Linked DNA regions of Drosophila melanogaster. The protein of the gene in region 1 interacts with the protein of each later gene in a pairwise test. Each region holds a gene or a part of one and is shown in the gene's direction. Other genes may lie near its edges.

Region 1 (7,487 bases):
GTAGAGAAACTGTCCTAGCCTCATCAAATATTTGCGGTACAGGTCTGAGGACAACGTATAACGTACGAATTCCTAGAACTCGAGCATTAAAAACAAATGCAACGTCGTGGTGCCCTTAAAATGATTACTTAATAAAGAGGAAGTGGGAAGTCTTGGTAAAAAATAGTAAACACTATCAAAAACTAGACCAATATGCATGGAAACTTTGTGAATTATGCAAATGCACTCGGTTGCCTCTGGCCTGTCCAGTTTCTCTCTGCTCCTCGGGATCGCGCATCCTGCAGATCCTGTGGGCTCAATGGCGCAACACGCGCTGCCCACTGGCTGAGAACATAATTTTCGCACTGCATCTGCCCGTTGCCTTTAAGTTGAATATAATAACAATGAATTGTTCAAAAATGCGTTTCCAGTGTAAGTTCAATTCTTTAAAATTTAAAAGAATCGCTGCCAGTTGTGTATTCCTTTTTCCGCATATCCCTTGTAAAAAATGGGGATATAGGTTTTCCTAAGTGCACACCCTCAATGCCGGACTAGTTCATCAAACTTTGCTCGAACACAAATGAAAGTTTCGAACCGCAGCCATGAAAGATGCAAGGCGTCTGGCCGTGGCCTACCTGCACACTCAGCTGCGATTGGAGCCCTACATTTCACCCAGTACCTCTGCCTCTGACGTGGGCTTTGTAAGGTCAACAAGCCAAAAATGCTTAAAAAATGCAACCGGCCAGGAAAGCGGCAAATGCAAAAGCAAAGTTAGGGTTAAACTCTTTTGTGGCATTAGCGAAACCAGAGAAGGGAAACTCCATCGTGTCGCGACTGAAACTTACATTGTATTTCTATTTGTGAGGCAGCGTCATTTCCGGTTTAGATCGTCCCCGGAGCCAGTGTTGCAAACATGTTAAGCAATCGCGCCAACTTTTTGGTCTTTTCGCCTCAGGGGAAAGGCAAAACTCTGCCGTGAGACGAACGGCAGCTCGTAAATTTCAAAAATTTGAAAACAACAGCGCCGGCAACATATACTTTTCGCGCGCTGGCCGAAATTATTTTAAATCACCTGCTGCCCGGCATTTATCATCAGAGCCAGTCGGACAAGTCGGACTCCCTAACGACCGCAGCCAGTCTTCAGCTCAACTCCCAGGACGACTACAACGGCAGCGAGATTTGCGAAGAGCACTTTATTTTGGCCAAGCCATTGCCACGCCTCCGTCCCCAAGCCCCCATCCACACTCCATCCACGCAGTGAAGTTTTCTCCACCTAACACCGACCCACTCATAATGTCCGCGCTTCTGATGTTATTTTGCCATTTTCGCTCTGGTTTGCGGCTGGGGGAAAACTGTTTTGTTATCACGGTGATAAATGGAAAATTATTTTGAATCGAGCAACTACTTAAAAGAATTCCCAAAGGTTGTAATAAATTTTGGGGCACACACATACACACATACATTCACGTCCGAGAAGGACATGCGAGGAAGGACAAGTTGGTAAGACCGAATCCGAGTTGAGCTGGCTTGGTAATGTCCTTCCAGATAAAAAGGTGATTGACGAAGCGAAAGCAAAAGTCATGGTCGAACTTCCACTTAGCAATGCAGTTGTCGTTCACAGAAAAGGACCAACGACGATGTCGGTGGTTGTGTTGTGTGTAGTGGTGGGCTGGATGGCGAATTTCGTCCTGGCATGCACTTAATTTGTACTGGGAGCTGGGGACCTGGGGCTCCTCCACTTGCTCTGAAGAAATACTCCAAGTTGAGCATATTCACAAAGCTTTGCAGAGCCAGGAATGCTATAGGTGCACACCGTGCCAAATTATTTCCTTACAACTTTAAAACTAAACATTTTATTATATGATACATCCTGGAATATAGCCCACATAGGTAGGAAGTAACAGCTCTTCCGGGAAAATATTATAGCTTATCAACAGTACCACTATAATTAAATAATAATAAATATGCATTAAAAATATAAATATTTTATATGTCCTGGTCACAAGAATTGATACAAAGTCGTTTGGTTTTCTTAAGTGCAGCGTCTTTGTTGGCAGGAGCAGCTACATGCACTATGGAAACCACTTCCAAACTGGGGGCCATCTCCGATCCAGGCACAAAGGCACCCGGACAGGACGAGCACACTCAGCGAGCAGCTCTAACAACATCTATTTTTATTTCATTAGGTAGAAAAATAGCCGGCAAGGTGAAGCTCCTGGCAGCTTCGCCATCAAAACAAAGCGCTGAATATTGGCCAAAACGGAATGGAACGGGGCGGGCGAAGCGGGGCTGGCCACAAAAAGAAACTGCTCTTCGCTTCTCAATTAGGTTAGCTTAATTTAAATTTGCTTCGAGTGCTTGGCAAGTGCTTGCGAGACATTAGCAGCAAATATTAGCAAACGCTTAAAGAGCGCCGTAAGTGGAAAATATCTTAGGCGAGTTTTCTTAAATTAGCCGTTGTAAACATTTGTTACGCACTCGGGTCGGGATTTAGAGTGTCTTAAATGAAAACCGGACAGTTTTTAATGAGGAAGTACGTTTGGCAGGTGCGAGATAACTAAAACATAAAACATGTTCATTGGAGTATGAAGATAGACAAACGGCACTTCCATAAATGTATTAAGGTGCACTGGAACACATGGGTTAAAACCATGTTATACTTATCGATCACTTTCAGAAACAAACTTCAAAAAAAAAGACTTTCAACGCACAAACAAACATACTCGAAAATAACTCCATATGGACTTTGAAGATGATGAGGAGGTTGTGCAACCGCACTATGCTCAGAAATTCCGGGCTCCCACCGATCCCCTCCTTCTGGCCACATATGAGCTTTTTAAGCCCTCTCATCAGACCTTGAACCTATACAGCGAACGGAATCGCGAGATTTTTGCGGAGGCCTTTATAGAGGGAAACTTGAACACTTTAGTCAATCTGAGCGTAAAGAGTCTGGCCAAGCTGGGCATTCGAGGCATATCTCCAACTTTGCAGGCGAGTCCCCAGCTTATGAGGATATTTTACGACGCACTGGATGTGGAGCTGCCTTTGAGGTATGTAACGAAACGGATACAAGTATTTTCATTACATAACCTATAATTTAACATTTGACGCCACTAACTTTATATCGTTATTTACTATGGTTACAAACCCTAATAACTTTATATATATTTCAAAGAGATTGCTATTTGATCGAGGATCAACGATTTTGGCGACGCGTCGTACTAAGCAAGACTTTGGACAAAACGTTGCACCTGAAGCGCTGGAACGAGTTCGACTGGAAGGCTGAGGGTGTGAGCCGGAAGTTTGTGGAGCAGGTTGAATCATGTCCTGTGAACGTGAAGCCGCAGAGAAGGCTGGCTCAGTTGGCTGAAATTGTTTGGCAGTATGTCAACTCCATGCACATCCGCAAGCTGCAAGCTCTGCCCGACTATGCCTTCATTAAGCACTTGGAGAGCGAGCCTGAAGAGGATATATCCTCGGAGTCATCCGACGAGGAGGAGATATCTAGCGATGAGCCGGATACGGAAATGGACGAGGGCGAGGAGGAGCACAAGTCTAGTAGTTCCAGCAGCGAGGCAGCTATTACTTTCTGGCGTGCGGAAACCGAGAACGAGGACACAATTCGCCGGAATGCGCGACATCTGCGCAACGCCAACCGCCAGCAGGCTCGGGATGCCATTGCTAGGAAACGGGAGGATCGCAAGGAGCGCAAGAGGAAGCGCCAGGAGAAACTGGACGCCTTGAAGAATGCGGATCAATCGGGCAAGAAAAAGAAGAAAAAGAAGAAGGAACCGCCCATTCGAGACGTGTTCAGCATAAACGTTGCTCCAGAAGAAGGTGATGACGAGGACACAAAACCGGACAAGCGCAACAAGCAGCTGCTGCTGGAGCGGATCAAGCGGTATGACTATCCGGAGGACCATTGTCATCACATTGATCTGGGATTTGTACGATATTTTGAAAATATGATGTCTCTGACGCTGGAGTTTTTGGGACCACCTGATGTAAAAGACTATCAAAGGTAAGCTCTTAAATTAGAATGTTATGGTAAGAAACAACATCGAAGAAGTGAAACGTGCTGTACACGATTTGTATAACATGTTTTCTCTGAGATAAATGGAACCAAATAAATACATGTGAAGTAGAGTTCTAAAAGCGCCAAGAGTCTACAGCTGCATCGCCTACCACCAGCATTTAAATTAAAATTGCTAGCTTAAACTTAACTTAACTTGTACCTTACAGCCGTTATATGAAGTTCTCAGACAGTGATATGGTTCGTCTTAGCAAAGGTCTGAAATACTTACCGAGCCTCAAGACCTTCAGGCTTCGAAACAGTCGCCTGAGTATGAAGAAGTTTCGTATCCTGACCCGTGCCCTTCAGAACTTAGACACCCTTGATGAGGTGGATTTTGGTTATGACCAAATGACGGATGAGTGCAGCGAAGGCCTGGCCTATTTGCTAAAGCGCCCTTTGATGTACCGCAGTATCCAGCTGGAACACAACAAATTGGGCGCCAATTGTGCAATTGTGCTGGGCGAGGCGTTGAGCCAATCGCAAGTGGGGGTTTTGGAGTATCTGGGCCTGGCTCACAATCCGCTTAATGAATTGGCCCTGCATTCGCTCATAACGTGTATTATCGGAACCCCCCATGTGTGGGCCCTCAACATTTCGGGGATCAACACCACCCTGGGTTCGTTTTCCCGTGATATAGGAACCCTCCTGCGCAGCCACACTCCTCTGATGAGCCTCGAAATGGCCGCCATCAACATTGGCATCTCGCAAGGGAATCAAATACTGAGATCCCTGGAAAAGAATACCCGAGTAAGTATAACATTGAATTAGGTTGGATCGCTGATAATGACCACTTTTGCGAAAGGGGTGCTGAAGATCATTTTTAACTGAGTATTGAACTTACATTCCTATCCTAAGATCCTATACGCCGACTTCCGGGAATGTGAGCTGAGCTTCGACCAGGAATTCGAAGTGGACATGATAGTGCGTCGGAATAACTACATTCATGAAAACCTCCACCACGGCGAGAATCTGTGTAAGGTGGTCAAGGAGCGCCGCCATCCGATTGTCCAGCGAATCGAGGAGGATTTCGCCCGGCGGAAGGGGTGCACGGAGGTGCGGCCGAAGTTCTCGAGCTCCAGCAAGGAATCCATTCCGGAGGTGGTCGTTGAGAAGAAGGAGGTCGAGGAGGAGGGCGACATCTGGGCAATGTTGGCTCGGTGGAACCAGCCGACAGCGCCTGAAGTGAGGGAATCGCACACTTCAAAGGATTCGCACCCCTCTCAAAATGGAAAGACAGAACCATTTGTTTTCGAACCCAACAAGTTCGATCTGGACCAGTTCCGGAAGTCTGTCTTTCTGCCAGGCCCTGGCAATCGCTTTTTCTACCTGCAAAGGAACAAAACTCCCTAATTTGTAGCCCTTTTCACCACCTACAATTGTACATTGCATAACATTGTACTCTGAGTATATTTTCAAAGCATTAAACGCACCACTTAGCAGTCCAACATAGTCCCTATCATTCTCGAGGGCTTGGAATGTCATTCGACCTAATGGTCACTTTAAACCTTCGCCATAAAGTGCCGCGCTGGCATAAACTGAGATCTAATTAAGTCGCTGGCAACGTGTTCGCCTTGGAGCCACGCCCACAATTCCGGGGGCCACACCTCGACCGAAGGTCATTGCAGAGCACAGCAAGTGCAACAAAGTTGAGCAGTTTGCATTTAAGCAGCGGAGATTTGGGCAACAGTGTCTCCAATTTAATGCCACTTCCCCTGGCTACTTCTGCCTTCCAAGCTCCACAGTCAATTCCATAAAATCGTGGGCGTACACTCGGAAAAAATAGTATAATTTCCATGTTGATAAAACAAACTAGAAAGCACTTAAAACACCAGTCCTAAAAACAGCATGTTAAATCCTTTTAACACTTTAGTTAAAAGAATTTTTCAATTCATATTACTTCATTTGAAGACTTAATTTCCAATGTTAACTAGCGGTGATTTTATTGGAAGGCTTCATTTCTTTTAAAGTTTTTCTAAACAAGATATATCTGCTTTTTCAGTGCAAAGAAAGAAGCTCGAACAGTGCTTAGAAGTTCGTCTTGTTAACAAAGCCAAACCTCAGCGAGTATAAACAAATTAATGCATATGCCGGTTCGCCTGAGGTAATGTGTGTCTATCTTGCAATTGGGAGACGTTTCCAGGGAAGTGGGGTAACATATATCGAGGGGGCTAAAGGAAAGGAAGGAAAGCGCGGAGGGGTTGGGTATGAGTTCACGGCCCCATTTTGACAGGATCCCATGAAAGATATATGTGCGCTGGTAACTCAACTTATCAACGCGCCGAGCCACAAACTTTTCTCATCTACTTAACGCAGATAAGCGGCTGCCTTTTCGCCATGTTTGGCTTCTAATTTGCCCAGCCGCAGATACACATTCATAGACCCAACTGATGGTGTTAACTTAATTTTCAGCCAGCACTCGACTGGAGTCCGTAAGGGCTAAAGTAAAGGAAAGAGATGGGCCAACAATCCGGCGGAATCGGAGTCGCCTGACTTTTTCAGACTTCTCTTGTGTGAAATAAAATTAACTAAATACGCTCACGAGTAACATTCATAATAAACATTAAGCAGCAAGGGCGAAAAAAGTCAAATAAATATAAAAAATAATATTTGCCAGACGACTCCTTTTTGCGATTACGAGGCGACGGCCGTGTGGCCAGCGTTTTTGGGTTTTGTCGGGTTGTGGGATCGGGTGAAATTATGGCATAAGTTACTTAGGAGTAAAGCTGGTTTCCTGCTCCTGCTCCTGCTTCTGCTCCCCGGAACTTCCCCACCATTCACAGCCAGCCACCCACTTTCCAGCCCCCCGGCGGAATCAACTTGGCTACACTTTACTTTTATGTGGCGCGCTCGGAATGTACTCGCTGGCGAAATAAAGATACAGATACAGAGATACGCAGAGAGTGCCCAGATACAAGCACATTTGTAGCGATAAGCGTCATAAAGTTATCGTAAGTAAGCGCCGAAAAAAGTCTACGAAATAGATACAAAAAAAAGACGGAAGCATGAGCTTACAGTGGGGCTTGGATTTCTGATCCTCTACCAAAATACAGTGAATGCTAGTGTTTGTTGAAAGAAAACGAAAGCCTTTAGTTTAGGAAGTGGTCATTCCTGAATACATCAAAATGTAAAATATATATATATATATAAAATGAATATAAATAAGTGTATAGAAATTTGCCAACATTTATTGTTATTTTTTTTTACCAATTACTTATTATCCTATCTGATCTTATCTTTCCATTATTCCACATTTCAAACATCATAATATATTTTGGGGCAACAAACATGCAATTGTAGCTTAAAGAAGTTTGCCAAACGCCTCACCAAGGGTATTAAAAGTCAAGAAGGAATCGCAACGCAGCCACAAGTTGAAGGCATCTTTGGACTTGGAGGGGCGGACACAAATAAAACTATGACAAGGACGTAACTTTTA
Region 2 (6,744 bases), on another chromosome or scaffold:
AATATTTCCTCGAAATTCAAGTGGAAACTTTTGTCGCCTGACCAAAGGCCTCATACATACACATACATATATGAGTTTTTCTCTTCCCATTCTTATATTTGATGCTTTTTGTTTTGTTTTCTAATTCTGTCAGCAGTTACAGTTGAAGAAAAATAAGCATACAGCTGCCTGACAGTCCGGACAGCAGTCTTGGTGCTCCGGTTCCTCTGGCTTTGGCCATAGCTTCTCCTATAGCTTTTCCCACATCTCTGACTTTGGCTTTGGCTTTGCCAGCCGGCCGTCATCCGTTGGCTCTTCCGCTTCCATGGGTCCTGGGCGCTCGGAGCGTAATTTATCTGCTGGAGGAGCAGCAGTTGTAAAAAGGGGGGGAATTCCGCCTGTCAACAGGAGTCCTACGTTTCGAGTCCTCTTTGGCCATGGGTAAAATTTATGCAAACCGACGTATGGCCAACAGGATGAGCGAGTGGAGCCAGAGATATATGACCCCCTGCACAATCCAAAAAGGAGGGGAGCTCAAGGAGAAAGGGTGATTTGGAGGATATGAGGGGTATGCCCAGTGTATTAACTGCAGCTAAATCAAAGTTTTGAGCCCAGTTATGAATTATTTGCCATTGTTCAGCAGGCGAAACATTCCTTTGTCGCTGACTTTGTCCCTTTTTGGCAGGAAGCCCGATGGTTTTCCTTTTCCCTCTCCACACTCCCCACTTCCCACAAGCCCGCTCCATATACCAGCGCGGAAGGACACTACGATCCACCTGCCGAGTCATTCGAACCCCGGCCCCCGCCAAGTCAATTTGAACAACATTTTGCCGCAGCTCTGGTTATACAAACAAGATTCCACATTCCGCTTCTTGGCTCTCGTTTTCCTCGAAAGGTTTCCCTCGCTGTTCCCCATGCCTATCTTATTTTTCTGTCTAGCTGTGATGATTTGCCATTTGGGGCAGGACCGTCCTAGAGGCACGTAAATTGAATGGCCGGAGCCAAAAGGTTCTGCAACCTGAAGTAAACAAAACAAAAAAAAAAAAAAAAGTCTAGCAAAAATTAAGTGAAAATAATAAACCTTTCGCACACACACATTTTCTGCTGGTGGTGATGGTGGTGACTTGGGTGGTAAAGGAAAAGGCAAATGCTGAAGGGAAAGCAAAAGGGCATTACACACACGTTGACCAACGGATGTCCTGCTGCCTGATGGCATTACAGTTAATTAAAGGTGAACCGATGGCCACAGAGTCCTGCCATCCAGCACAGTGGGTTCAAGAGTCCAGTAAATTGGATTTAATTTCAATATATGTATATTGTGACACTATTTGTACAGCCATTTTTCGGATATTGATGTGTACCGTTGGTTGCAAATAACTTTTGGACTGCAATCTTGCCACCCTAAAAGGTAGTTGTGGATAGGGAGTGATTTTTAATGACTTTCACGATTAAATGCCCAAGGAATCATTTTCAGTGGACCGGAAATTATCCCATGGTGACTGTGCGCATGTGAGCGGAGGTCCACTGTGTGTGTGTTGTGCTGCTGCTGCTGCAGCTGCGTGTGTGTGTTAGTGTGTGTGAGGGCCATGGCAAACTGGAAACTTTGCAAATGAATGGCAAGGCATTGGAAATAATGAGCCGTATTTACATTTCAAAGCGCTCGCACAGAGCGAGAGCTGTAAAAGTTTTTAGCCTCCCCAACGGACTACGGGTCAAAATCAGTTACGGAACTCTGAAATGAAGAAGGATTGCGAGAAAAGAGGAATAAACCCACGGAGGCTGTTGTTGTAGTAGTTGTAGTAGTAGTTGTAGTAGCATTGCACACGCACACGCACACGCACACAGATGAAGCCGGGTAAATCTCCTCCAGAGTTGTGTGGGGAGTAAATTGCGAAAGCTTTCGGTGGCAGGATTGCATACAATTTGTTTTATGGCCATGGCGTGCACATTAAACGCGCACTTAATCACACGCAATGGGCGTGGTCGGTGGATCGTCCCACCGCCCACCATCGTCGTCGTCGTCTACGGCGACAAATCAAATTGATTTCGCTTTTCTGGCTGGCTTGCCCGCTGCCCTTGCCCAAAAATTTGTACGCCCCCTTTTTTTTTTTTGCCCCTTTTGTTGTGTTGTTTTGCGCCTTATTAAATCACTTTTATTGCCATTGAAATGTGAGAAAAGTTTTACGGAGACGATGCCCCCCCTTGTCGTATATATTATAGTACGTAATATGATTTTTAGCTGCTTGCCAAAAAAAAAAAATAATTCATATTTATGGCAAAAACTTCACGCTCAGCGCGATGTGAGAAACATCGGTGTTATTGATGTCTGGCGAACAGGAGTGTATTTCGGGCGGAACCCATGCAGTCAGAGGTGGTCGCTGTTGGTTGTCCATAGTGAAGGCAACCATTTGCCCCACGGCCACCACACCATCTCATCGGAATCTCGAGTATTTGGTATTGGGTGTCGAGTAGCGTAGTAGATGGAGATGTCTCTTTGTGCGCCCAACAACACAAGCGCCACACAAATAGACAAGACAAACACTATGGGCTGGATATTGAGTTTCGGTTTCGAATTCTCTTCCAGCATTCGTCATATGACGACTAAAATGGAATTTGGTCAGTATCGAGTGCACAAAAGACTCCGGCTAGTTAAGTTATACATATACCAAAATACCGTAAAATAAGCATAACTTGAGCAAAAATAATCATTTTCGAGCACTTTCGAGCAGCAAGTGACATGCGGTATTATAGCCCTGCTTAAAAGCCAGCTTGTTGAACTATATATATTCCTCCATTATCCTTTTTTTTCTCTCACCAGCCTAATCTACGGGCAACAGCGAGATTTTCACAAAAAAAATATATAAAAAAAATAAACCAGCGACCCCTATATTCAGGCACTGCGTTTCAGCGAGGCGTGTAATTAAATTTTCATGCCACCTACCTGGTGGCTGGATTTCGAAGGGAGAGTAGGCGGTGGGGCAAGCGGGCCATGGGCGTGGCACTTACATACAAAGAATGCAAATTGTCGGGGCTATTCCAAAATGCAAGCATCAACGCCTTCGAATGCAACCAAAGCAGGCGGAAGTAAATGCAGCAGCGGCGGCAGCCTTTCCCTTTTTCCCCCAACTAGCTTTCCATATATCCTCGCCCCCCCCCCCCCCCCTTCACTTATCCTCTAGTTTTTCCTTCTCACCTGCCACTCGACAAAAAACGACACTCAAGTGGTCAGGTGTGAACAAGTGTAGAAGCAGCGTACACGAGCATGTTTAATTTTGGGATACTCAAATGTATAACCGACCTATTAAAGGAACTCTATGATTCAAAAAGTACCTGTGAGCCTACATTCCCAGCAAATACCCTGTAATTGTAATGCTATACCCAGCAAGCTTTGAATTCATGTAGATTTAACCTGCCAGATTCGATTGGATAAACAAACGAAATATACGAAACAAGCAAACAAAACAAGAGCCTCCGAGCAAATAACACAAACAGACACGCCAACAAACCGAACAAAGGAACAAACTCAATAGCTAAGCGAGAAATCTGCTATTGCGTTTTACCCCACACCCCTCTGGCCATTTGCAATTTCAAACGCGATATACATATAGAATAGAATTCGTCAAGATGCCAATGGTGATGCCATGTCGTTCGCGAGCTGCGATGAAACTGCACCCGGATTGCTATGATCGACTTAAGAAGCCGATTTATCTGGAAACGCCACCATTATCGACCGTCGAAGAGGAGCCACTATGTGGCGTACGCCGTGATAGACCCGTAAAGCCAAAGGTTCAGAGGCGACCATTACCGCCCGGCACACGTCTACCGAATCCAGTAGCCGTGCCTGGACAGAAGATCACACGTTCGGCGGTGGGTGGCGGTAAGGCGCCACCGCGAGCCCGAAAATACGACGGTGCCAAGGCCACGTTCTTTCACATCAAGGGTCAATCATGGGAATCCAAGGGCTATGCGGAGCTCTCACAGTGCGAACTGGATCGCATGCGGGCATCGAGGCCGCGTACCACCGAGGAGCGTCGCGCGGAACAGGATCGCCGGATGGAGGAGCAGCAATATCATACAGCCGAAGCGGAACGTATGCGTAACTATTTCCACGACATTGATGAGCAGCGCAGGGAGAAGGAGCGCGAGGCCCAGAAGAGGGACGATGACGAGGCCGATGAGGATGTCAACGAGGATCGGCGTGCGGAGGCCAAACGATTGCAGGTAGTTTTTTGGTTTATGGTTCTTAGCCATATTTCCGAAAGTATATCTCCACCACCCATTGTAGGTACTACACCGCGCCTTGGATGCCAAATACGAGTCAGATGTGCGAGTTAAGGATGCCACGCGTGCGATATCCGAGGCCAAATGCAGTGCCATGTGGACGGCTCAGATACAGGAAAGGAAGCTACTCAATCGCATTCAACTCGATCATGACGAGGAGATGGCTCGCAAGAATCGCGACTACAACAATGCCAAATGGGGCACGGTGGAGCAGCAAGATCAGGCCGAAGAGGAGAGGCGCCGGCAATTTGGCAACGCAGTGCGTGAACAAATCACTGATCGCGAAAAGTTACGTTTCCTGGCCCAGGATCGTCTGCGATTGGAGGCGCGAGACTTGCGTGCCGCCGTCGATGAGTATAAAAAGGCTGAATTGGCAGAGGGCGAGATGAAATCGCGCCGTAAGCTGGCCTATCGGGATGAATTGAATAAGTATACGAAATTGCATCGCAATTTCGTACGGATGATGTGCGAACAGGATCAAAGAGATGAGAACAGGGCCTACGAGTATCTAAAGCTCAAGGAGCAGCAATTGAAACAACAGCGAGCGGAACGCGAAGCCATCGCGGCGGATGAGAAACGCAAACGGGATGTTCTCTTTGCAGTCGGCCAAAAGATTCTCGATGCTAAGGATAATCGCGAGGAGATGCATTTCCTGGCGGAACACGAACGCCTCGAACGAAAGTACAGAGAAAACGAACGTAAGGCAGCCGAAAAGGAACGCAAAATGGCCGCCGAACTCAAGCGTGCCAATATGGAGCAAATGGAGCATCTTAGCCAAATGAAGGCCTGCTTCTATGTGCAACGTGAACGCGAACTAAAGGAGATGATCGAGTATCGAAAGAAGCACGAGGAGCAAATGAAGCGCGAGGCCGAGGAGCAGGCCATCAAAAAGGCCTGTCTGCGCTCCAGTGTCTCGTGCCAAATCGAAGAACGGGAGAAGGCTCGTCGCCGCGAACTGGAGGAGGAACACTTGGCCTTCGAAAGGGAGCGGGCAGCTGAGGCGCAGCGGCAAAAGGAAATCGATACGGTGATCACAGTCAAACTGGATGATCTACAAAAGCGCGGATGTCTGCCCAATTTGGCGGTGCAATCGCTAAAGGGTCGTGTCGCCAATGCTGGCAACAAAAAGAAGCTGGGCGCTGAATTCACTTAGATAGTTATATTTTCTAAAAATCCATCCATAGACAGACAGCATCAAACACGCGCACACACTCACTCCCACACACACACACACACACACACACAGACACACACATGAACTCAAGTTGACAATGGCATAGATGATGACTTTTCGAGCTTGGCGGAATTAAAACTTGCAGCACATATAAAATGTACATAATGTATATGCACGTATTTTAGCCACCCTGTGGTGGCAACTTTTCCGTGTGTTCCTCGCCTTTTTTGTTTGCTGTCAATTCAACAAGTTAAAACTGCAGACCGCAGACAAAAGGATATATAGACTGGCACTCATTAAGCAGCAGCTGATAGAGCAAACAAAGTTTTTTCTATCGCTGCGCTCACTCTTTTGCATGTATTAAATATGCACACAGATTGCACACGGTATTCGGTGCAACTAAAAGTCAACTTTATCCTGTCGCATTTGCGGCTGCAAAAATAATTAGCCACACAAGTAATCAAAAACAATGGGTTCAAATGCAGTTTTGGGCAGTGGTGTTACTGTTTTATTTAAGGTTAATTATTAACTAGTTTATGATCTAGGGATTTCGCGCAGTTTTGTTGAATATCATTTATTCGTATAAAGGATAAAAACTAAGCAAAACACGCAGCGAAATCGAGTATAAATCACAAAAGAGGCGCCACAGCCACGCCTTCTCGCACGAAGCTATCAATTCTGTAAAGTCAGAGAACAGAACGCTGAGATTAATTGAGTTGGATAAATTTCGCCGGGCTAATACGTCTTTGGGAATTAACCCACGATAGATGAGTGGGGGTTAAAAAGGCGCACACAGACACACAAGGATTAGGGTAAATTAAGTTGAGTTTAAGTAGAGAGGCATTTGTTTCACTTAAATTCGCGAAATTAGCAAAAATTAATTTCACTCGGATGACTATTGATTCGATTTTGTGAAATATTCACAAGAAACAGGCACACGGGCACGAATGGGTTAAGCTGACCGTGACTGCATGGCTGTGGGTCATCCATCCATCGGCATAGCGGCGGGTTAATGATGCAGAAGAATATTGCCCTTGAATGAACTAGCAGCAAGCAAAAAGGCCGAGATGAATGTGTTTCTGGGTTAGCAGAAAATGCCTCTCAATGGCTTAAATACTTGCCATGATGCAGCATTTATGGCAAATATTCACACACACACACACACACACGCACCCACCCACGCACATACACTCGCATATGTACCGCAACATACACACAATATAATTGCCAGTTCCTGCCTGTCGAACACAAAACAAAAATCATAGCATACTTTTCTGTGCGCTCAATGCGAATATACAGTTGTGGGCGAA

Evidence for each region. Proteins that work in one complex are often made in the same cells at the same time.
Region 2: the proteins of CG15580 (region 1) and CG5062 interact in a two-hybrid assay, tested with the Drosophila melanogaster proteins (one large-scale study listed by BioGRID).

Annotation. Positions count from the first base shown.
Region 1 is NT_033777.3:6,052,722-6,060,208, reverse strand, and holds CG15580 (uncharacterized protein), read left to right. Parts: upstream 1-2,672; 5' UTR 2,673-2,718; coding exon 2,719-3,029; intron 3,030-3,154; coding exon 3,155-4,000; intron 4,001-4,221; coding exon 4,222-4,801; intron 4,802-4,909; coding exon 4,910-5,404; 3' UTR 5,405-5,497; downstream 5,498-7,487.
Region 2 is NC_004354.4:5,179,040-5,185,783, reverse strand, and holds CG5062 (uncharacterized protein), read left to right. Parts: upstream 1-3,414; 5' UTR 3,415-3,603; coding exon 3,604-4,200; intron 4,201-4,264; coding exon 4,265-5,413; 3' UTR 5,414-5,602; downstream 5,603-6,744.